Diceros bicornis minor: one gene and its partners. The protein of the gene in region 2 purifies or fractionates together with the protein of the main gene of each other region. This does not show direct contact. Links are inferred from orthologs where the notes say so. Each region holds a gene or a part of one and is shown on either strand. Other genes may lie near its edges.

The links.
Region 1: the proteins of PRPF19 (region 2) and CTNNBL1 purify together in Homo sapiens (affinity purification with mass spectrometry; 4 studies listed by BioGRID and IntAct, counting the BioPlex papers as one, with this or other methods). This does not show direct contact. The link is inferred for Diceros bicornis minor from reciprocal best matches to the Homo sapiens genes PRPF19 and CTNNBL1.
Region 3: the proteins of PRPF19 (region 2) and SNRNP70 fractionate together in Homo sapiens (co-fractionation; 3 studies listed by BioGRID, with this or other methods). This does not show direct contact. The link is inferred for Diceros bicornis minor from reciprocal best matches to the Homo sapiens genes PRPF19 and SNRNP70.

What each region holds. Positions count from the first base shown.
Region 1 is NC_080758.1:22,437,100-22,444,756, reverse strand, and holds the start of CTNNBL1 (beta-catenin-like protein 1), read left to right. Parts: upstream 1-4,645; 5' UTR 4,646-4,727; coding exon 4,728-4,757; intron 4,758-7,657. UniProt on the Homo sapiens protein: Component of the PRP19-CDC5L complex that forms an integral part of the spliceosome and is required for activating pre-mRNA splicing.
Region 2 is NC_080770.1:12,513,872-12,521,301, reverse strand, and holds the start of PRPF19 (pre-mRNA-processing factor 19), read right to left. Parts: upstream 3,014-7,430; 5' UTR 2,841-3,013; coding exon 2,822-2,840; intron 1,120-2,821; coding exon 970-1,119; intron 787-969; coding exon 710-786; intron 1-709. UniProt on the Homo sapiens protein: Ubiquitin-protein ligase which is a core component of several complexes mainly involved pre-mRNA splicing and DNA repair. Required for pre-mRNA splicing as component of the spliceosome.
Region 3 is NC_080773.1:24,584,530-24,592,391, reverse strand, and holds the start of SNRNP70 (U1 small nuclear ribonucleoprotein 70 kDa), read right to left. Parts: upstream 3,013-7,862; 5' UTR 2,815-3,012; intron 2,078-2,814; 5' UTR 2,068-2,077; coding exon 1,921-2,067; intron 1-1,920. UniProt on the Homo sapiens protein: Component of the spliceosomal U1 snRNP, which is essential for recognition of the pre-mRNA 5' splice-site and the subsequent assembly of the spliceosome. SNRNP70 binds to the loop I region of U1-snRNA.

The DNA.
Region 1 (7,657 bases), on a different chromosome or scaffold from region 2:
TCCCTACTGTGAAATGCATAGTCAGACAGGCTTGGATTGGAGTATTGCCAGTTACTAATTCTAGGACTGTGGGCAAGTAACCAAACTCTCTACATTTCAGTTTTCACAATTATATAAAAATATTAGATTAGAGAGGATCCAAGGACCTGAATTTTGGGAATGAGAGGCAGAGGGAGCAGGGAGGGACTCCTCCTGAACCCCGGGCGCATTCTTCTTCTCAGAAAAACATATCTCTCTTTCCACTGCCCACTCTGTAACTCTTCAGTGCCTAAATGGAGGAGTCAGGAGTTCTTCGGTGCTGTCATATGTTTCTAATCAGCCCACGATTGCAGTGTAGGAGCTCAATATTGGTGATAAATATACTTTATGAGTGTTTTTTTGAGGATATATTCTTAAAGGCTGTTCCAATAAATAATTTACTGGGGCAATGAAAGATGCAGGAAGTGACTCTGATTACATCTTGGAGCACCTAAAGCTTGAAGTTTAAGGAAGCTAGGCAGCCCACAGCTATTTAAAAATTTCCTGGAAGGGATAATTCTTCCACATTACATTCTTTACAAAGGTTACAGCCCAGCAGCTGATCTCTTGGGTGGTGCCCTTCTCCCATCTCCCTTGTGGATGCCACTCTGAAATCATCGTTGTCGCAGGTTTTTGGACTGCTTGGTGCATTGCACAAGCTCTTCTGAGCTTCCATTTCCTCATCTTTAAAATTGGAATAGCATATTGTCAGGATTTGTGGTAGGGCTTTGAAGATATTTGATAGTATTATGGCCAGGAGTGAATGAATCAATCAGTAGATTGATTGGCTCATTTATTAAATCACCAACTATTCGGTTAGTGCCAATTAAGGTCTAGGCACTGTGTTAGGTTCTGAGGTTATTGTGATGAACAATACAGCAATCTCTGGCCTTCTGGAGCTTAGAATACAAAGGGAAAACAGACTCCAAAAGAGTAAAAAGCAAATCAATATAGAAACACAAATCACATGTGTTCTGAAGATAATAGTCAGGAACACTGGTAGAGAATCTTGAGCAGAGGGGAGGGACTGTCTTAGATCTCACAGTCAGGGAAGGCTCCTCTGATGTGGTGACATTAAGCTGAGACCTGAAGGGTGAGTGCTCCAAGACTTCTCTCTAGGGAGGTTCCCAAGGAATTATTAATGGGCCCTCTCAACAAGATAAAGTTGAAATATCTTAATATGATATTCAAGATCCTCTATGATCAGGATTGCCAGATAAAATACAGGATGCCTAGTTAAATTTGAATTTCAGATAAACAACACAAAGTTTTTAATATGTTACTAAATATTGCATGGAGCAGATAGTAAAAAAAATTTGAAGTTTATCTGAAATTCAGATTTAACTGGGTATCTTGTATTTTTATTTGCTAAATCTGGCAACCCTATCCATGATGTTCCCTGGCCCCCCTCTCCTGCCCTACTTCCCACCATTCCCTGCACACACCTTATGCCCTGTCTATAAGAGATAGTCCAACTTCCATGTCTTTGGGCGTGTTGTTCCCTCTGCCTGGGTCACCAGACTCCCACCATGTCTTCTTGGGAAACTCTTCTCATCCCTTAAACCCTAGTCCAAATGGCACCTCCAGCACGTTATCCCCATTCCAGGGTGTCACCAAACCTGGTTCGCATAGGGTTTTGCCTTATGATTCTATGTTTTAAGGTCTGGTCTCTAAAAATACACAGAGAAGATTGAATGCCTTCAATACTCTTGAAAGGAAGGGGTATAAGGAATGACCTTGTCCCTCCTGCCTCCCCCACCCCATCATCCTCACACAACTCCTCATAGTATTAACATCAAATATTGATGGAGCACTTTTCTGTGCTGGGTACCCTGCTAAGGGCTTTGTATACAGCATCTCACGTAAACTTCCCAAAGTCTTATAAGGTAAATTCCATTGAATCTCCACTTTGCAGGCAAGGCAATCAGGCACACAGAGGTGATGTCGCTTGCCTCAGTTTCCACATCTGTAAAATGAGGATCATAACAATGTCTCCCTCATGAGGGTTTCTCTCCAACTAGAGTGTAGGTTCCAAGAGGGCAGGAACTTTCTTTTTAAATAAACCTCTGTATCCTCAGAGCCCAGGGTTGTGTCTGGCATTGAGTAGGCACTCAATAAATACTGTTGAATGCATGAATGAACCACCTTACAGATAAGGAAACTGCAGCTTAGAAAGAGAAAGTAACTTGCTCACAGGTAGATGTGGTGAGACTTTGACTAGAACCAGAATCAATGGTGTACTGGTAAACGTTTACCAACCCCGATTTGTAGCACTTGTTGATTTCCATAATGTAAATACTTCCACCATGGCCAACTTCAAGCAACCAACCTGATGTCAATCTGCTTGCAAATTTCCTGAAAATTTAACCATAGGCACTTGCAAGCTCCAGCATACCCCTTACTAGAACAAAGTTCTAAAGGGTACATGGTTCCAAAGGGTACACTCTCACCATTACTCTGTTCAGCCTCCCTGAACAGGGCACAGTCTACACTCACAGCTAAGTAGGAAGAGAAAAGACACCTGAAAAACTCAGTTCAAAGCAGATTGTGTAGGTGATCCTTAAAAAACATAAATCCAATCACTAAACGCCCCTGCTTAAAACCTTTCAATATCTTCCTGATGCTCCTACCATGAAATTTAGTCTCCTTATCATGACCCACAAGGCCCATTGTGAAACCTCCCCCTGTGCCAGGCACTGTACAAGGCTTTTGTACTGGGATATAATGATGAACGTGACCTCCACAATCCCTCCTCTCATGGAGCCTGCCTGCAGTAAATGAGGCTGTCAATAAACAAGTAATTAACCATTAAGAACAAAATGACAGATGGAGATATATGTGCAGTAAAGGAAGTGCTAGGAAAGAGAATAATGAGAAGGGGCTGCTTACCTGAACTGAGGGATAGTTGAGGAAGGCTACTCTAAGAAAGTGACATTTGAAACCCGAAGGATGAGAAAGAGTTGGATGAGGTGTGGGGCTAGTGGCCAGGCAGAAGAAGAGAGGATTTGGCACTTTGAGGAACAAAAATAATTTCTGTATATTTGGAGACTGTGGAGATGGAGAAGGTGATTATAAATACTGCTATGGTCTGAATGTTTGTGTCCCCCCAAATTCATGTGTTTAAATGAAGTGGAGCTTTTGAGAGATGATTGGGTTATAAGGGCAGAGCCCTTATGAATGGGATTAGTGCCTTTTTTTTTTTTTTTGCTGGGAAAGATTGCCCTGAGCTAACATCTGTTGTCAATCTTTCTCTTTTTTTTTTTTTTCTTTTCTTTCCTCCCCAAGGCCTCAGCACATAGTTGTATATTCTAGTTGTAAGTCCTTCTAGATCTTCCATGTGAGCTGCCACAGCATGGCCACTGACAGACGAGTGGTGAGATTCAGTGCTTGGGAACCGAACCCGGGCCACAGAAGCAGGGCGCAACAACTCTAAATGCTAGGCCATCAGGGCTGGTTGGATTAGCATCTTTTTAAAAGAGGCAGGAGAGCTCCCTCACCCCGGACACCACATGAGGACACAGTGAGAAGGTACCATCTATGAACCACAGACCAGACCCTCACCAGACAACAAATCTGCCAGCGCCTTGATTTTGGACTTCCCAGCTTCCAGAACTGTGAGAAATAAATTTCTGTTGTTTATAAGCCACCCAGTGTATGGTATTTTTGCCATAGGAGCCTGAATGGACTAAGACAAATATTATGAACGTGAAGGGCAGGAGGCTAAAGGCTCAGGCGACTAAGGAAGAGGCTTAACACCCTTTTAAGATGGAGTCTTATTTAAATCCCAGGAGTTCAGATGCACTCTGAATGATTCTCTTCCAGTGATGGGCAACTCTCTCCTACAGAAAACTTTTTTATATCACTTGGGTAGAAACAAGATCATCCAGTTCCCACCCCGCCTTGCATACATGAATAAACAGAAGCCAGAGAGGGAAATGTGATCACCAACAGTTTCTCAGACAGTAACAGTTGCACGGACTTGGACAATACACTTTCTGAGCCAGACCTGTCCAATAGAAATTTAACAGGAGCCGTGAAGACAGCCACATATGTAATTTACATTTTCTACTAACCACATTTAAGAAGTAAAAAGAAACGGGTGAAATTAATTTTATATATTTTTTGACCCAATATATCCAAAATATCATTTCAACATGTAATCATTAGAAGTTTTAGAAACCGGGTGTGTATTTTAGTTACACTTATGGCACGTTTCAAACATGACCTAGCCATCTTTCAGACCCTCAGTAGCCACATGGGTATAGCGGCTATAGTACTGGACAGTGCAGTTCTATGCCTCAGTTTCCTTATCTGTGAAACGAGGATAAAGTTGCCTAGGTCACTGGAAGGACTGTGAGGGCACACGTGAAACACCCAGCACTCCACCCCGCGCTCGCGCCAATAAAGCTTGGGTCCTTTGGGTCTTTTCTTTCACCGCACCGCCCTCCTTCAAGTCTCCGCCCCTTTCCCCGCCCCCTTCAGGCTCAGGGCGGAAGCGGTACTGTCGCAAATGCGGCGCGCTTTACGGTGGCGCTGCCTTTTACCGCAGTGTGGCCGACTCGCGCGTCGCGCGCACTTTTACCTCATTGGCTCTGCGGCTCGGCTCACGGCGCTTTACGGCAGTGTGGCTGGAGCCGCTGGTGAGGGGTCCCCTGTTTGGGCGTGAGTAGAGGGAAGCGGAGTAGCAGGTGTTGGCTAGGCCGGGAACCATGGACGTGGGTGAACTTCTGAGCTACCAGGTATGAGGGACGAGGAGGGCCAGAGGACCGTCCGCTCACCCGGGCATCTCACCTCCTCTCCCCTCCGTCCCGGGCCCTCTCTTTTCTCGTGGCACCGGGGTCCGAGCCTCTCATTTCACTTCCCTCCCTTGAGACTCGCTTGGGTCCTTTCAGTTCGTTCCTTCTCAAGGTGCGAGCCCCTTCTTTTCAGCTGCAGTGTGGGCCCCTTCTCACCCCACCCTGGGGCCTGGTTCCCTTCAGCTTTCTGAAGGCCCCAGACTATCTTCGCAACCATCCCTCTTTAGCCCTCTTACCCCTAGTCGTTGAGTTTGTGGTGGTGGTGGGAGAGCCCTGGACCCCCAGCTTCTCCCCTGACTGGCCATGTGGCTTTGGGACAAGTCATTTCACCCTCTTTGAGCCTGAGTTTCTTTATATATAAAACGGAGGCAGTAATAACTACCTAGTGGAGTTGTTTGAGGACTATATCAACTAATGGATGTGATAGCCGATTTTAAAGTGTAGAAAGCTGTACCCCTGTTAACTGCAGTTGTTGGGAGATGTTTGGAATTCTAACATGGGATAGGTCTCTAGGAATCTTTGTCCCTCTTGCTCAGGATACTTGTAGGGAAACAGTAGCCCACAGGGCAGAAAGGACTTGTCCAAAGTTACTCAACAAGTAAGAGCTGAGATTAGAGCTGAGGTCTCCTGGCTTCCAGCTCAAAGTTCCCCCACTCTTTTGACTTCCTAAGGAGGCTCCTTGTGAGAGGCAGTAGAGCTGTGTTGTCCAATATGGTACCCAGTAGCCATATATGGCTATTCAACACTTGAAATGGGACTAGTCTGAATTGAGAAGTACTCTAAATGTAGAATCACACTGGATTTTGAAGACTCAGTGTGAAAAAAGTAAAACTTTCTTGTTGGTTACATGATCATATTGATCATATCAGGTACCATGATTATTGATCATATTGATTAGATAATCTTAGTATGGGTAATGGGTTAAGTAAAATACATTTAAAATAAATTTTACCTGTTTCTGTGACTTTTTAAGCTAGCCTTTTGCTGTGGCTACTGCTGGCCTTATATTTCTGTTGGACAGCTCTGCAGTAGAGAGTAGGTAATGAAGAGCCATGAGTCTGGAGCCCCATGTTGCTCAGAATCTCTATTTTGCTGCTGACTGGCTTCTGTGACCTTGAACAAAACACTTAACCTCTCTGTGCCTTGGTTTCCTCATCTGTAAATGTGGGCAATGATGGTACCTACCACATAAGTCTGTTGTTAACAGCTGTCGTGAACTGTAAAGTGCTTAGGCCGATGCTTGTCAAAGAGTAAACGTTCAATAAATGTTGCCAGTTATATTCATGCCACTTCCTCAGCCAATATACAAAGAACTGACCTTAGAAACTCTAGACATCATGGGAATGAACTTGTAAGCAATGGGAGATATATAGCCAAGAGATGTCTCTTTTTAAGACAATAATTGAAGGTGAAAGAAGAAAATAGGGGGTTGTTGAATGAGTGGTTGTATACCTGTTTGGGAGTTGTAGAATGACTAGCACGTTGACTCGTAGAATATTAAAGCTAGAAGAGGTTCATTCATTTGCTCAACAAATATTTATTGAACACCTACTGTGCAAGGCACTGTATCTACTGAATATACAACATTGAGCAAAACAGACAGAGTTCTTGCTTTTGTGGAGCTTATAGTCTGGTGGGGAAGTTACAAGATAATAAGTCAGTAAACAAACCAGAAATTCAGATTGTGATAAGCACTTTGAAGGGTATGCAGAATATACTATGCTGTGCTGTTTGGTGTGGTAGCCACTGGGCACAGGTGACTATTGAACACCTGAAATGTGGCTAGTTCAAATTGATATCTGCTGTATGTGCAAAATACCTGCTATATGTGCAAAATACACACTGGATTTCCAAGATTTAGTATGAAAAAAATGAATGTAAAAAATATTAATAATTTTTATATTGATTCCATGCCGAAATGATAATACTAGGATATATTGGCTTAAAGTAAATAGATTATTAAAGTTAATGTCACTTTCTTAAAAACTTTTTTAATGTGGCTACTAGAAAATTTAAAGTTACATATGTGGCTCATTTGTGGCTTTCCATGTATTTTCATTGGACAGCACTGCTAAAGAAAATAACCCCTGGGAATGCGAGGCAGGACCTATTACTTTAACTAGTATGGTCTGGGAAGGACTCTGAGGAATGGACATTAAAGGATTGAAGGTTGAAAGGAGCCAGTCATGTGAAAAGGGCAGAATGATCTGGGCAGACAGAATAGCAAATACATAGGCTGTGAGGTAGAGGCTGGGGCAGCCTGTTAGAGGATCAGAAGGAGGACTGATGTAGCTGGAACATGGTGAGTGGGTGGGGGAGTGGTAGGTGATGAAGTTGGAGATGTAGGCAGATGACAGGCTATGTAGGCCTTCCTGTGGGCCATGATAAGGAGTTTGAATTTTATTTTGAGAGATGTTATAGATAAGCTCGTTTACAGATGAAAAGTGAACTCCATTCTGGGAGAGGGACTTCCCTGAGGTTGTGGGCCAAGGGAGTGGCAGAGTTGAAACCAGAATCCTGATCTTCTTATTTCTGCCCTGTTCATTTCCCACATGCACTGTTCATGCAGTTTCCTTTCTGTAAGATCCATGTCCACTCTTCCTGTTCCTAAAAGATGGTACAGTCTGGAATCTAGTCCATAATCAGTCAACTGCACCCATCCTCCTGTGGAAAGTTATGAGGATCATCTGAGTTAATGGATGCAAAAGCTCTTTGAAAACAGTAACATTTTATAGATGTGAAAGATGCATTACCTACCTGCATCATCTCTCTAAATCCTTATAACAACCCTATGAGGAAAGGTACTGTTTTTAATCTCAATTATAAACATGAGGGAACTGAGG
Region 2 (7,430 bases):
CTTGATAAGAGGACACTGCCTCCTATGCCACAGCCTAGACCAGTATCAGTGATGCAGGCAGCATCTGAGTGACCCTGAATGCCAGTGCTGGCAGCCACTCCCGAGCTCCTAGCTCACGCCAAACACCAGGCACACAGACAGGAGTGGGAGCCAACTCTTTTCCATCCCCCTCGTCTTTAATTTACCAGCAAACCTCAGATGGCATGCTGTCACCTCACCAAAAGGGAATAATAATGCCTCTGCTGCTATTTATTGAATGTCCTCATTGTGTCAGGCACTGTCCCAGACAGTCCCTCAAGATGTATGCATTCATTTATTCATATTTTAGAGCACCTACTATGTACCAGGCGCTGCTCTCGTGCTGAGGACATATTGATGAATAAAACAAGTCCCTGACGTCACAAAGTTTATACTCTAATCTTATTCTGATTCTCCCAACACCCTAAGAGGTGGGCACTAATCCATGTCACACAGTCAGGAAAATCAAGACTGGGATATGAGGCACATGACCAAGGTCACACGGTAAGGGAGCAATGGAGCTATGCGTGAAACCCAGATCTGTGTGATTTCAACAACCGGGCTCCTCCTCTGCTATCATCCTACCCCTCAAAAAAGAAACTAATGCTCCATCCCTCCCACCCCCTAGTTCTAGTCCAGTGATCCATTCTCTTCGAGTAGGGAAGACATCAATTCTCATCCAGGGACTCACCCACTCATCCTGCAAGGCTTTCAGAATGGCTGGGATGCTGGTAGCTGAGGGAGGTTTGGGCCGGATGGGGTGAGCAACTGCCAAGAGAGGGAAAGCAGGTATGAAGATCCATAACCCGGGGACTCTTCCTCTCCACCACTCTTTTCTCTTTAGCCTGCATTAACACACAACCATCTCCTCCTCCAGTGCACTGGTACCACCTCCCACCCTCTCAGGCTCTGAGCTAAGATGGCCCTGGACTGAGGCCAGCCACTGGGCACCTTTGATGTCGATGAGCTGCTCCTCGGACAGAGGCTGGTTGTTGATGGGGTCTGTGCCATTCTCTGCAATATACTTCTCAATGAGCCGCCGCTCGTAGACATGGTGAGAGACAGGGGACACGCACGGGTGCTCTGGCACTTCATTGGAGACTGCAGAGAAAAGGCAGGCAGTGAGCAGGGGTGGTGAAAGGGACCTTGGGCCAAAGAGATGCCTCACTCACTACTGGCCCCCACAAGACCATGCATCCCCACACTCAACTCACAGGAATCAAGACATGACACCAAGCCAGTTTTGTCCTGTCTCCAGAATGCTTTCCAGCTACATAACTGGCTTCTCCATCAGTCTCCTGACACTCAGATAGTCAACAAGTAATTATTGCACAACAACTACGTACGAGACACCTAAAGAGCAGTCAATAACCCTGCCCATCTTGTTTTTGAACAAAGATGCTTAGTCACTCCTTATACTCCAGGACATGGAGATACACATGAAGCCACTCAAATCTCAGTCTAGAGCCTAGATGGATTATTAGACAAAGAAATTACAAAGCAATATGACAAGTGCTATAAGAATAAAAAACATTTACATGGTGTTTACTAGGTACCAAGCACGATTGGAAACACTTTCCAGAGATTTAATTCATCCTCACCACAACCCCCAACAGAGGTATCATTTACACGCCTGCCTCAGTAGACTGTGCACCCCTGAGCATAGGGATTACAGCTGGTCTCTGACTTCCAGGACAATGCAGATGCCCAGCAGGCACTGGGTTAACATCTAACATGAGCGAATGAGAGGAAGGATGGTGGTGGGGAACACAGAAGAGAGGTTCTTCAAGATACAAAAGAAACAATGAATGGGACAATACTGTGCAACCTGTAATTTTTTCAATGTGAAGGTTCCTCTTTCTAGACATCATTTTCCTTCCTTCCTTATTCCCTCCCTTTTTTTTGATTTATGGAGAGGTTCTGAGAAGAGTCAAGGGCTTGACAATTAGGACGCAAATAGAGAAAAGGATGAGAGACCAGTCACGGGATGAAACAATAACGGAAAACATCTCTATGCCACAATAAAATACCAAAAGGAAAGACAGTACAAGGCATGAAAAAAGCACGGATTCAGGGTCAGAGAACCCAGCTCCATCACCCAGCTCTGCCAATTACTAGCTGTGCAGCTTTAGATAAGCCACACTCTCCTGGAGCCTTACACCCTCATCTGTAAACCCGGCCGGGACCTTTATTCCTGCTTTGGAGAATTCTTGGGAGGATAAAATGAGATCACCGACTTGGAAGTGCGTTGTAAACCAATAAAGGCTTCATAAATGCACGCTGTTTTTATTAGTCGTGCAAGATGAGGTTGGGAGCCGGAGACCTGGCTTCCAGCCCTGTCACTGCCTCCATCTCACTGCGTGACCTTGGCAATCTGCAGAAGCTCTGACTCCAGGGCGGGACCTCAGACAACATCCAGTGCAAAGCCCTCATTTTGCAAATGGGGTAACTGAGGCCCAGAGGCTTAAGCCAGGTCACAAAGCCAATCTGAGGCGGCTCCTGCACCAGCCTTCGGGTTCCCCGATTCCTGCACCAGCTCCCCCCGTCCAGGCCCCAGTCCCCACTACGTAAACGAGGTGGCTGGCCCCAGGGATGCCTGCGACCATAAACTTGAGGCGTTACGTAAACTGTGAAGCGCTGCGCAAACGCACCCCCAGCTGAGGGGGAGGAGAAGGACCCCCGTGCTGACAGGCCGCCGCCCGGCCTCCCGGGAGCCCTGCTTTCACCTCCGCCCCGACCCCAGATCCTCCCGCTCGGCTCTCCGGCCTCCTGCGACCCGCGATCGGCCGCCGCCGATACTCACTCGAGCAGATCAGGGACATGGCGCCGTCGCCGCGCTCCGAGGCGCCTCGCACCGAGCTCCGGGATTAGCTTCTGAGCCGCCGCGGGCCACTTCCGGTTCCCGGCGGCTTCCGGAACGCTCCGCGGCGAGCGGGGAGCGACCCGCCGAGCGATGCTCGCGTCGCGCTTCACGTGGGACTGCGGCCGGTCGCGCGCCTCAGCCTCCAGCACCTAACGGAAACTGCCCTTTCCCAGAATGCAACCGTGCAGGAAAGGGCCCGCCAGGGAGCACTCGTCTATTTCCGGACTGACTCGGCTCCTTCCGTAAAGCGGTCCCGCGGCGAGGGGAGAGGCGAGCCGAAACTACATTTCCCATGATGCAGTTGGAATTTAAAGCCAAAGCAATGCAGCAACGCTTTTCTGAGACTGGCCCTCTGCCGGGCCATGGGATCGTACGGAGTCTTGCAGTCTTTGGTGTGCGTGAGAATTTACTAACGAACTTGTTAAAATGCGTATTCCTGGGCCTGCCTTGGAAAGTCTGCATTTTCAGTGCATGCCCCATGTGATTCTGAGACAGGTGTTTCTCGGACTACCCAGGGACACTGCTGGGTGACACGGTGAAGAAAGTACAGATGCAGACAGGTAGAGAAACTAACACGGGTCAAGAAACTGTTCTGGTCCTGCGTTTACTACCAATTTGCTCTGTGATCTTGGGCAAGTCATCAGCTTCTCTGCCCCTTTCCTACATGGCTTCTAGGTCCTTTCCAGCTCAGATCGTGTGGGATTCTTTGTGGATATCTATAAGTGATAAATAAATGGCAAGCAATAGGATATATTGGAGCATATGAGGAAGCCATTTGGTGTAAAACTAATTAGGCCTGAGTTTGTTTTCCCAAAAGGGCCTGTCACCATTAAACATGCATTGTGTATCTGCTTTACCATGTCCCAAAGAGAAGAGTAAATGTCCTTAAGATAAGGATGCAACGTCCCCCACATTGGCATTTCCTTAAGGATAAGCATTTCTCCTTAGGCTAGGATTTGATTGCTGCACTCATCCTGTGACCACCCAACTTGAGAACAGACCTGCATCCAGCCACGCCCATCGAGACAGCAGACCTGCCACGCTCTGTGTCCATCAATAGCTATTCTGGCAGGGCAATCTGACACGGCGATCTTGTGGCTATTGTAAAAGGGACATTGCAATCATATGTGATATGTGCTCTTTGACAGTATATAACTGCTCTGTACACCCCACTTCTCTGGTGCCCCTCCTTCCTTGGGGAAGGAAGGTCCCAGGCTATGGTCCTCAAAAGTTGGCTCGTAATAAACCCACCCCAATTTTGATTTATAGATTGATTACGGATTATTTACGTCGACAAAGATAAGATACTTTCAGGAATCATGTACAGAACATGTGGTGTGGGATCCAGACAAAGCAGCAGGAGAGACAGGTGTGGTCAGTGAAGTCTTCTTCACTGGAGAGGTGTGAACGAGCTGGACTTTGACAGATGGGCAATATTCAGATAGAAGAGAAGGAGACTAGAGGGCAGCTCAAGAGCAGGTACAGCATAAGCAAAAGCTTGGAGAGAAGAAGAAAAGTTGCAGGTATGAAAGGCAGACAGCATAGTGGCCAAAGGCGTGGACTCTAAAGTCGGATTGTGTTCTAACCCCAGCTCCACTCAGCTAGTAAGCTGTGTGAACTTCTCTGCCTTAATTTCCTCATCTGTAAAATGGAGGGAGTGATAACAAGGGTTGAATTAACTCACAGGGTTGTTGTGAGGAGTTAATGTTTAAAAAAATGCTTTGAACTAAGCCTGACACATAGTAAGTACAATATAAATATTCATGTTTGTTATCATTATCCCTAAAGCCAAGCAAGATTGTCCAAACTACTATCATCTCTCCCCTGCACCAATAAAATAGCATCCTAATTGGTCTTCTTGATCCCAGCCTGGCCCCCTTCTAATCCACTTTCCTCAGAAGAGCCAGTGATCTACTTTCAATGAAAACTCTATTCCCGATACTCCCCAGGCTTTTCATTCATTCAGCAAATACTGGTTGGGTGCCTCCTAGGTGCCAGGCCGTGTTCTGATAACTGGAGATACAAATGATGAACAAGAAAGACAAGGTTTCTGCTCTCTTGGTGCTTACATTGGGTTTGGGGGGTGGGGCAGCATAGACAATCAGCACATAAGAAGAAAATTCCAGAGAGTAAGTGCTAAGAATAAAACAAATCAGAGTAAGGTGGATAGGATGGATCAGAGGGATGGACTATTTTAGGCAGGATATTCAGGGAGGGCATCTCCGAGGAGGTGACACTTTTGCTGAGACCTGAATGAGGGAGAGTGGTTCTGGCAGAGGAAACTCACCCCCACGTCCTGCACCATCTGGCCCATTCTGACCCTCACAGTCTCACCTCAACTTCTCTCCTGCCATACTGGCCTTTTAAGTCCTCAAACTTACCCACTCTGGCTGGTTCCAGTATTTTTGTCTGGAACACTTTCCCCAACTCCCTCTTTTCTTCTCCTCCCCTCCCATCCCCTCCAATGTAAACACCAGTCTCGCCTTAAATGGCACTTCCTCTGGCGCGTTTTTCTTGACCCCTGACTGAAGTTTGGTCCCCACAGCACGCTGTAATTCTCCTCTGGGCCACTCTGGATAACTAGAATCATTTAATTATTTACAAGTATCTGTTCGATGTCTGGGTTCTCCATTCAACTGTAAACTCCATGATGGCAGAACCATAGTTGTTCTAGCCACTGTTGTTTCTGAGAGTCTAACATGGTGCCTGACACATAGCAGGAACTTCATAACTATTGTTGGTTGGATGACAGGCTGCCTGACAGGCCAGGCGTCTTCCGTACTTGGACATGGTAGGAAATAAAATGGATCCATTTACGTGGAGCCTTGAAGCAGAGGTGGTTAGACTTGATTGGGCTGGCAGCAGAAGAGCAGTTGAGCTATGGAGAGATAACCACACATCCAGAAGATTCCTCTGGAAGACACTCACTGGATGGGTTGGAGGACAGACTGGAAGGAGAGAGATGCAGTGGTTCATTTATTGGACAAATATTTATTGAGTGCCCATTGTGTGCCAGTAAGGCACTGTACTAGGCATTGGGGATTCCACTGTGAGCAAAACCAGAGGAGTCCCTATACTGGGGAGCTTATGGCTGTGACAGAAGAATGGAGGAAAAAGGGAGTCCTTTCAAGCCTTCTGAGTTTCAAAGCCAGCCCCTCATGGAATAGAAAGGATTCAGGGCGACTGATTTTGGAGTAAATATTAAACAGGTAAGAACTCAATCTCAAGCCAGGGCCAGCCCCGCGGCTTAGTGGTTAAGTGCGCGCGCTCTGCTACTGGCGGCACCGGGTTCGGATCCCAGGCACGCACCCGATGCTGAGGCCGCGTCCCACATACAGCAACTAGAAGGATGTGCAACTATGACATACAACTATCTACTGGGGCTTTGGGGAAAAAAAAAAGGAGGAGGATTGGCAATAGATGTTAGCTCACAGCCAGTCTTCCTCAGCAAAAAGAGGAGGATTAGCATGGATGTTAGCTCAGGGCTGATCTTCCTCACACACACACAAAAAAAAACCTCAATCTCAGATTTCTCCCAGTCTCCCCCTAGAAGAGATAAAGATTCCCTAGGCTGGGAAAGGAGACATAGGGGATAGCTGTTGGTGGGTCCCCAAGAAAGGAACTCTATGCCCTTCTCCCCCCCGCCAAGGCTGCTGCTGCTTGGGAAGCAAGGGGACACATTGGCCAATAACCCAGAAGAAGCTCTGTTTCCCAGGAAGATTAAATGGCAACCTGTGTGGACAAGTGACGGAGGATCAGGCAGGACGATATAGCTCAAACAACTGACACTGAGGATTCAATGAATTCCCACCCCCACAACCTTGGCCCTAATTAATTTTCCAAAAAGTGTGTACAAGCTGAAAATCAAGGGTAGGAAGAACCCTGAACTATCTGAGGAAGAACCCTGAACTATCTGAGATTGTTTCTACAACACTTAGATGGAAAACAGAGTTGAACAGAAATGAACTCCTTATAGGAAAAAAAGAAAATTATGTTTCTTGCACAGGGAAGTCTGTGATTTGAGATTGGTAGTTCTACAAATCACAAATCTCACAAGCAAATGTAAAGTTGCAACTGTTAGAAAGACTGGAAAGTGAGGCTCAGAATGCTACCAGAGCCTGTTCTGGAACAGAGACCCTTCGCTGATGCAGGAAGTGATGAGGGTCCAGAGGAGGATGGATGTGTCTGAGAAACATCTGAAGGAAAGGAACAACTGGAAGAGGTGACAGACTGGATGCTACTAGAGTGTGTAGTCTGGGAAGAAGGCAGAATTAGAAGGCTGATTCAGGAAGCGGGGGACAAAAGAGTTCCGCTTTAGAGTGTTGGGTTTCAGGAACTGTTTTAACATCAAAGGGGCAGCCTCCCTATGGCAGTCAATGTGATCAAAGCATTCCCAAAGCATCTTGGATGTTTTTTTAAAATGTTCACTCTCGTTATTTCATGAATCTCCACACCTACAGTGGAGCGAAATGGTATTTTTAGAACTTTATAATACTTTATAGTAAAGTTGAAATAACTGAGACCCAGAGAGATGAAGCGGGATGCCTAG
Region 3 (7,862 bases), on a different chromosome or scaffold from region 2:
CTGCGGGAAACGGCCAGGGACACCCATCTGGGAAGTAATAAGCAATTCAGCCACACACACACCCCCCCTACACACAAGTAAACAAACAGGGACAGCTCCCAGGCCAGTGGAGGCAGGGGAGTGGTGCAGATCAAAGTGCGGTCCTTGCACCAATGCCATCTGCAAACTGGTAACGGTCCGTGACACGAAAAGTAAAGAAATCGTAAGTATTCAGAAACTTCTACAACAATCTGACGGGGTAGCTTTATGCCCACTGAATTTAATAATAAAAACTCAATCTTTTATTTTACAATCTTTCTTTAAAAACACTAGAAAAAAGAAAATAATTCTTTTGTGTTTATCGAAAGCACAATCTGCAATGGATCTCTCTTTATCACAGAGAGGAATCGGGACCAGGCCTGAAGCAAAAGGAGCTGACGGTGCGGTGCCCAGAAGCAAACAACTGAACGCTCTCTGAGGGGCGGACACTTCTTTTTTTTTTTAATTTTTGTCAGGAAGATCAGCCCTGAGCTAACATCTATTGCCAATCCTCCTCCTTTTTTTTTTCCCCCCAAAGCCCCAGTAGATAGTTGTATGTCATAGCTGCAGATCCTTCTAGTTGCTGTATGTGGGACGTGGCCTCAGCATGGCCGGAGAAGCGGTGCGTCGGTGCGCGCCCGGGATCCGAACTCAGGCCGCCAGTAGCGGAGCGCGCGCACTCAACCACTAAGGCACCGGGCCGGCCCCGGGGATTTCCTGAGGGTCTCACCAACCACTCATTAAGGAGTAAATGGCACATGACCTGGGTCATCAAAGAGTGCCACTGACCTGCAGCCACTAAATTAGTTTAACTGGCTAGTGACATTTCCCCAGTACCAGCTCACTGAGGGCGGCAAATCCCACTAAAGAGCCAACCTTCTGTTATCTTGCTACTAACTTCTGCTCTGCCACTTCCTCCGCCTCCAGCCGCCCTTTCCCACTCGATGCCAGAACTTTCCTCTGCTGGCTGCATGCCAGCATTTCTCAGGTGCGCTCTGATGCACCTTAAGAGACGGATGTTGTTATCCCAATTTTACTAATGAGAAAACTGAGGCCCAGGAACCTAAGTCATGTGTTCGTGTTTACCCTGCAGGTGCAGAGCTCAAGTTCTCAAGCCCATGGTCTTAAGCACCCCATCGCACCGTGCTAACCCTTTACGAACGCCACAAAGATGATAAATACACTAACACACGTTGACATTTGCTGACTGTTTGGTGCCAGGCCCCATAACATAAATTTTGCAGTTAATTCCCCATCAATGTTATGAAGAAAATTCTATTATCCCCTCACTAAAGATGAAGAAATTTTTTTTTTTGTGAGGAAGATCAGCCCTGAGCTAACATCTGTGCTAATCCTCCTCTTTTTGCTGAGAAAGACCAGCTCTGAGCTAACATCTATTGCCAGTCCTCCCCCGCCCCCCGCCAAAGCCCCAGTAGATAGTTGTACGTCATAGTTGCACGTCCTTCTGGTTGCTGTATGTGGGAAGCGGCCTCAGCATGGCCGGAGAAGCGGTGCCTCGGTGAGCGCCCGGGGTTCCGAACCCGGGCCGCAAGTAGCGGAGCGCGCGCACTTAACCGCTAAGCCACGGGGCCGGCCCAAGATGAAGAAATTGATGCACAAGAGTATACACCACTTGCCCAAGGTCACACAGCTGATAAATGGCGTGTGCCAAAGACTACCTGCCTTCAGAGCCCGAATCCCCCACTGCTAGTCACTGAATTTTCACAAAAACCCTACAAGGGATGTACTATCAACCCCATTTAAGAGAGGAAAACTGAAGATCACGAAGAGCAAGTCACCTGCCTAAACCACACAGCTGGAACACAGCCAGAGACTGGACTCCAAATCCAGGCCCCTGGCCCCTAAAACCCAAACCACCCCAAGTCTGCTCAGCAAACTCACCTCAAACTCCCGGATGTAAGGCGCGATGCCACAGTAAGGTTGATTGTGGTGTTTTTCATGTGGCAGTTTCTCCAGCGGCGGCAGGTACGGGATGGGGTCACGGGGGGCAAAGAGGGCCAGGAGGTTGGGCGGCAGGAACTGGGTCATCTTGCCAAGTCTGAGGGCCAAAGCAAGACAGCCTTGTGTGGGGGTGGGCGGGTGGAGAGGCAGCCCCTACAATCCCTTGACTCCCCGAAAAAGAGGGAAATGGGGCAGGATCTCAGCCAGGGCTCAGAGTGACCCTATGTCACAGGGCCAAGGAGTAAACCCGAAGGAGAAAGCAAGTTCTTCGGGAAGGCTGCGTGAGGGCAGGGCAAGGCCGGTAAGGCAAACAAGGACGGAAAAAGGGTTTCTGAGCAAAGTCTGAGTCCCAAGCAAGGAACTGTGAGGCCGAGAGGTTCCCTGGGGGTTTGTGGGGGAATCAAGGATCCTGACGAGGGAGATCCACAGCAGTGGCGGCTGGGGGTCCCATACCTTGGAGAACAGGTTATGAGGCAGGGGGCACAGGAAGCCTCCAATCAAAAAGACAGGGTCCTAAGCAGCAAACCTCTCAAGTAACGGCTTGTGGCTAATACATCTAGGACCCCAGAGACGAAAGGAATTATGGGTAAGGGTCCAGGATGCCGCGAAAGAGAAGGAAAAAAAAGGCAACACACCGCAAGGGCCTGTGGGTAAGGGACCGCGGGGGAGCCATGGCAAGAGGGCCTGAGTGCCCAGGGGACTGTGGGTAAGGGATGCAGAAAGGTGCTCTGGCGGTGGCGCGGGACGGGGACCCGGCCGCGGGGAAGGGACTGGGGCCCACCGCAGGGGCTTGTGGGTAGTGGCCCCGCACCCGGTAAGGCCAGTCACACTCACCCGCCGCGCGGCGCCCTCCTCGGCCTGGCGACGGTCCGGGGGCTCGCAGCGGCTGCGGCGGCCCCTCAGCAGCACGAACTCCTACTCTGTCTTCTACTCCGGCGGGGTCCACGTCCCTCCGCCTCCGTCACCCACTGAGCGCGCGAACCAGGCCGCTGCTCACGAGCCCGCGCGGCCTCGGCTCGCGACAGGGGCAAGGGGTGGAACCGGTCTCAAATCCCTCCGCCGGCCGCACTGCGCACGCGCCGCGCGAGTCGAGACCAGCCCACACACACGGACCTGGCGCCGCCGCGGGCACTGCGCACGCGCGAGGTCACCACCCCGCCTTCGTGCACCTTAAACTCCTTTGCCGCGGCAGGCTGGAGGCCGCAGTGCGCACGCGCGCTTCTCACCAAGCCTTCCCCTTCGACCTCGCGCTCGCGGCTCCAACCGCCGGTGTCCGCGAGACTCTTCTCGATGCTCCGCCCCTCCCCTTAACACACTTCCCGGATCTTGCGCGCATGCGTGTTTCGTCTATACCGTAATAGACCCTTCCGCCACCTGGCAAAGAGTCCCTACGTGAATAGTGTGGCCGAGTTGATGTCTAACCTATTAAATCGACAACTATTAAGCAAGCGCGCTGTTTGGTCTCTGGGGACATAGCACGTGACTAAAGCAAAGTCTTTTTCTTCTTGGAGCTTGCATTGTACTGAGGGAGACAATAAAGTCATTTAAAAAGATAAATATAATTTCGGATAGTGGTCTGCGCAATAAAGAAAAATAGGGCGGAGTAAGAGGGTGGGCAGTGAGAGCGGGGTAATTTAAAAAGGGCGAAGATGGAAGGTACTTCTGAAGAGGTGACATTTGCACAAAGGCCAGATGGAAGGGAGATCTGGGCAGGGTTAACAGCAAGTGTAAAGGGCCTGGTTTAGGACGGATGGCAGGAACCTCATGTCATTTGCCCTGAGATTAGAGTCAGCAGCCATGCTATTTAGGGCCCTGTAGACCCATCAGGAGTTAAGTATTGTATTTTAAGTTTTTTGGATAGGTTCAATTGCCTGTTTAATAATAATTACAGAAATTATTACAAAATGTAAATGACTAATTTCGTGTTTCAAGAAACATATAAAAGGACATTTTCAAAAATATTTTGACATTTGCTTTATTTGTGTATGCATGTGGGAACTCTCTGCTCCATTTTTGGAGGTTTTTTGTAATTCTAAATTTATTTCAAAATAAAAAATTTAAAGAAAATAAACAAAACTAAACCTGCCTTCGTAATGTGTTTTTTTTTGGTCTACCATTGGAAAGTAAATTGCAGCATTTCACCTCTAAATGCTTCAGCATGTATCTCCTAAGAATAAGGACATTCTGCTACATAACCACAAAATTATTTTCATCTCTAAGAAAGTTTAGCCTCTATTCAGGTTTTCCCAACTGACCAAGAATATTTTGTTTTAATCTGAACCAGGAGCCAATCAAATTTCACCCATTGCCGTTACTTGTCATGTCTCTTTAGTCTCTTTTAATATAGAGTAGACACACATATGCACACACCCACACACTTTTTTTTTCCCGTTGTGTTGTTGATTTTTCCCAGAGTTCAACCCCGTTTCCAGTAGAATGTCCCACATTCTGAGTTTGTCTGATGGTTTCCTCCTGGTGGTTACTTTGTTGCACTACCCTTGTTTTCCCTGTAAAATGGAAGTTGAGTCTGAAGGTTTGAATCCACTGAAGTTAAGCATTTTTGGCAAGAACATTTCCCTGGTAATACTGCAGACATCGTATTGCATTACATCTGGAGGTGCGTAATGTCAGATGGTCCCACCATTATGATGCCGAGTTTGGTCGCCTGGTCAAGGAGCTAACTGCCAGATCTCTTTTTGTAAAGGTACATGTTCCCCTTGGTAATCTGAGCAGTTAGACTTTGCCACCATGCAAATATTCTGTTCCCCAACCATCTCTCACCTCATGATTGTAGCAGCCATTGCTGATCCTTGCCTGAATCAAGTATTACGTGGAGAGGGCAGGTGTTATTTGAAATGAAATAGGAAGTAACTAAAGGGTTTTGATCAGGAGACGGACATAACCTGATTTACATTTTTAAAAGGTCCCTTCAATGGCTGTGGACAGAAAAAGTTCAGGGAAGGGATTGAAGGGGAAACAGGGAGATGGTGAGGGGCCACCCAGTGGCATAGTGGTTAAGTTCATGCGCTCTGCTTCTGTGGCCCGGGGGTTCGCAGGTTCGAATCCTGGGCGCAGACCTAAGCAGCGTTTACTCAAGCCATGCTGTGGCAGGCGTCCCACGTAATATAGAGGAAGATGGGCATGGATGTTAGCCCAGGGCTAATCTTCCTCAGCAAGAGGAGGAGGATTGGCAACAGATGTTAACTCAGGGCTAATCTTCCTCACACACACACACACAAAAAAACAGGGAGATGGTGAGGAGGCTACAATTTCCAGGGAAGAGATGGTGGCCTGCACCCAGATGGTAGCAGTGGAATGGAAAGGAGTGGTGGGATTCAGGATATATCGTGAAGGCAGAGCTCACTTATTCAGTTGCTATAGGAGTGGAACTAGAGTGTATGGGAAAGGGAGAAGTTAAAAATAACTCCTAGCGGAAATGAAGGAGACAACTAAAAGCAAGGTGGGATCCTAGATTCGATTCTGAACAAGAAAAAGAACATTAGTGGAAAACTGGTGAAATTCAAATGAGGTCTGAAGTATTATTGGTTAATAGCATTATACCAGTGTTAATTTCCTGACATGTAATTGTACTATGGTTATATAAGAAGTGGACATTGGCAGAAGCTGGGTGAAGGATATATGGGAACTCTGTAGTATTTTTGCAACGTTTCTGTGTCTGAAATTATTTCAAAATAACATGTTTAAAGAAAAAAATTTTAAATGAAGCTAATCTTTCCTTAATAATAATAATAATGATAATAAACCCCACTCCTAGATTTGTAGACTGAGCAGCTAGGTGAATGATGGTGCCACTGATTTAGGGAATGAGGACGTAGGGAAGAGTGGGATTATTAAGGAGGAGTTCTGGGTTTGGACATCTCAGAGATGTCTTTTTGACACTCAAGTGGCGCTGTGGAGTGGAAAGTTGGAATATATGCCAATCACGGAAGAGTTGGGGCTGGAAACCTAATTTGGGAGTCACTGGAGTAGAGATGGTACTTCATGCGACTGAATGAACTCATCTAGGAGATGAGAGAAGACGGAGAAGGGAAGAAGTCTGAGGACTGAGTCCCAAGGCCCTTCATCATTTAAAGTTCAGATAAAACAGGAAGAGCCAGCAAAGGACGCTGAGTAGGAGTAATTGCGAATGTAAAGGAAAACCAGGAGAGTCAGGTGTCCAGGAAGCCAAGAAGGAAAGTGCTTCAGCAAAGAGGCCATATTCAATGTGTGCAATGCTGCTGAGAAATGCACAAAGGTAAGAACTGAGGTCTGGCAACCAGAGGTGACCTGACAAGACAAGGGGAGAGGCAGTGGACACTTCAGATCAGGAAAAGTCTTTAGAGAAGTTTTGCTACAGAGGGAGCAGAGAGGGCTGGCCTAGTAGCATAGAGGTTAAGTTCGAGTGCTCTGCTTCAGCGGCAGGGGGTTCACAGGTTTGGATCCCAGGCGCAGACCAATGCGCTGCTTGTCAAGCCATGCTGTGGCAGCATCCCATAAGGTAGAGGAAGATGGGCACGGATGTTAGCTCATGGCTAATCTTTCTCACAAAAAAAAACGGGGGTGGGGTGGGTAGAGCAGTGAGAGGTGTTAACGGCAGGATAAGGAAGTGGAGTAAAGGAAGGAATTTTTTTTTTGGTGAGGAAGATTGGCCCTGAGCTAACATGTGTGCCCATCTTCCTCTGTTGTGTATGTGGGACATGCCACAGCATGGCTTGATGAGTGGTGGTTAGGTCCGCGCCCGAGATCTGAACCTACGAACCCCAGGCCACTGAAGTGGAGTGCATGAATTTAACCACTACGCCACCAGGCTGGCCCCAGTTTTTTTTTTTTTTTTTTAAGATAGAAAGTCTTATGACACAATTGTCTGCTGATGGCCAAAAAAAGTTAAGCATAGATTTATCATACAACCCAGAAAGCCCACTCTTAGCTACTTATTCAAGAGACCTGAAAACTTATGTTCACACAAAAGCATGTATATGGATTTTTATAGCAGCTTTATTCATAATCGCCATAAACAAAATGTAACTCAAATGTCCTTCACATACAGTGAATATAGAAACAAAGGGCCTACGTCATGACTTGGAATACCGCTGAGTGTTAAGAAGGAAAGAACTACTGATACGCACAACAACACGAATGAATCTTCAGTGCATTATGCTAAAGAAGCAAAAGAAGCCAGATTCAAAAGGCTACGTACTGGACGATTTCATTGATTTGACATTCTGGGAAAAGCAAAACCACAGAGACGGAGGGAGAGAAAACAGAGCAGTACTTTCCACCACCTGGAAGTCGGGGAAGAGGCTGACTACAAAGGGAAGGTGAGAACTCTGCGGGGTGAGGGAGCTGTTCTATGTTTTGATTGTAGTGGCAGTTCCATGACTGTATTCATTTGCCAAAATTCATAGAAGCATATGCCATAAAGGGTAAATTTTAGGGGCCGGCCCAGTGGCATAAGCAGTTAAGTGTGCGTGCTCCGCTGCGGCGGCCGGGGGTTTGCCGGTTCGGATCCTGGGCGCGCACCGACGCACCGCTTGTCAAGCCATGCTGTGGCGGTGTCCCATACAAAGTGGAGGAAGGTGGGCATGGATGTTAGCCCACGGCCAGTCTTCCTCAAAAAAAAAAAAGAGAGAGGAGGATTGGCAGATGTTAGCTCAGGGCTGATCTTCCTCACAAGAAAAAAAAAAGGTAAATTTTATTGTATGTAAATTAAACCTCCATATACTTGACTGAACAAAACAGGTGGCTCCCCCAAATATTCTTTCATTACAAAGGGAAAAAATAAAAACTTTACAGTGGAGAAACCCAGCAGACACTACCCTCACCAAGTGATCAAAGTTAATATCACTCATGATAAAACATATCAGCCTCATGGGCCCCAATAT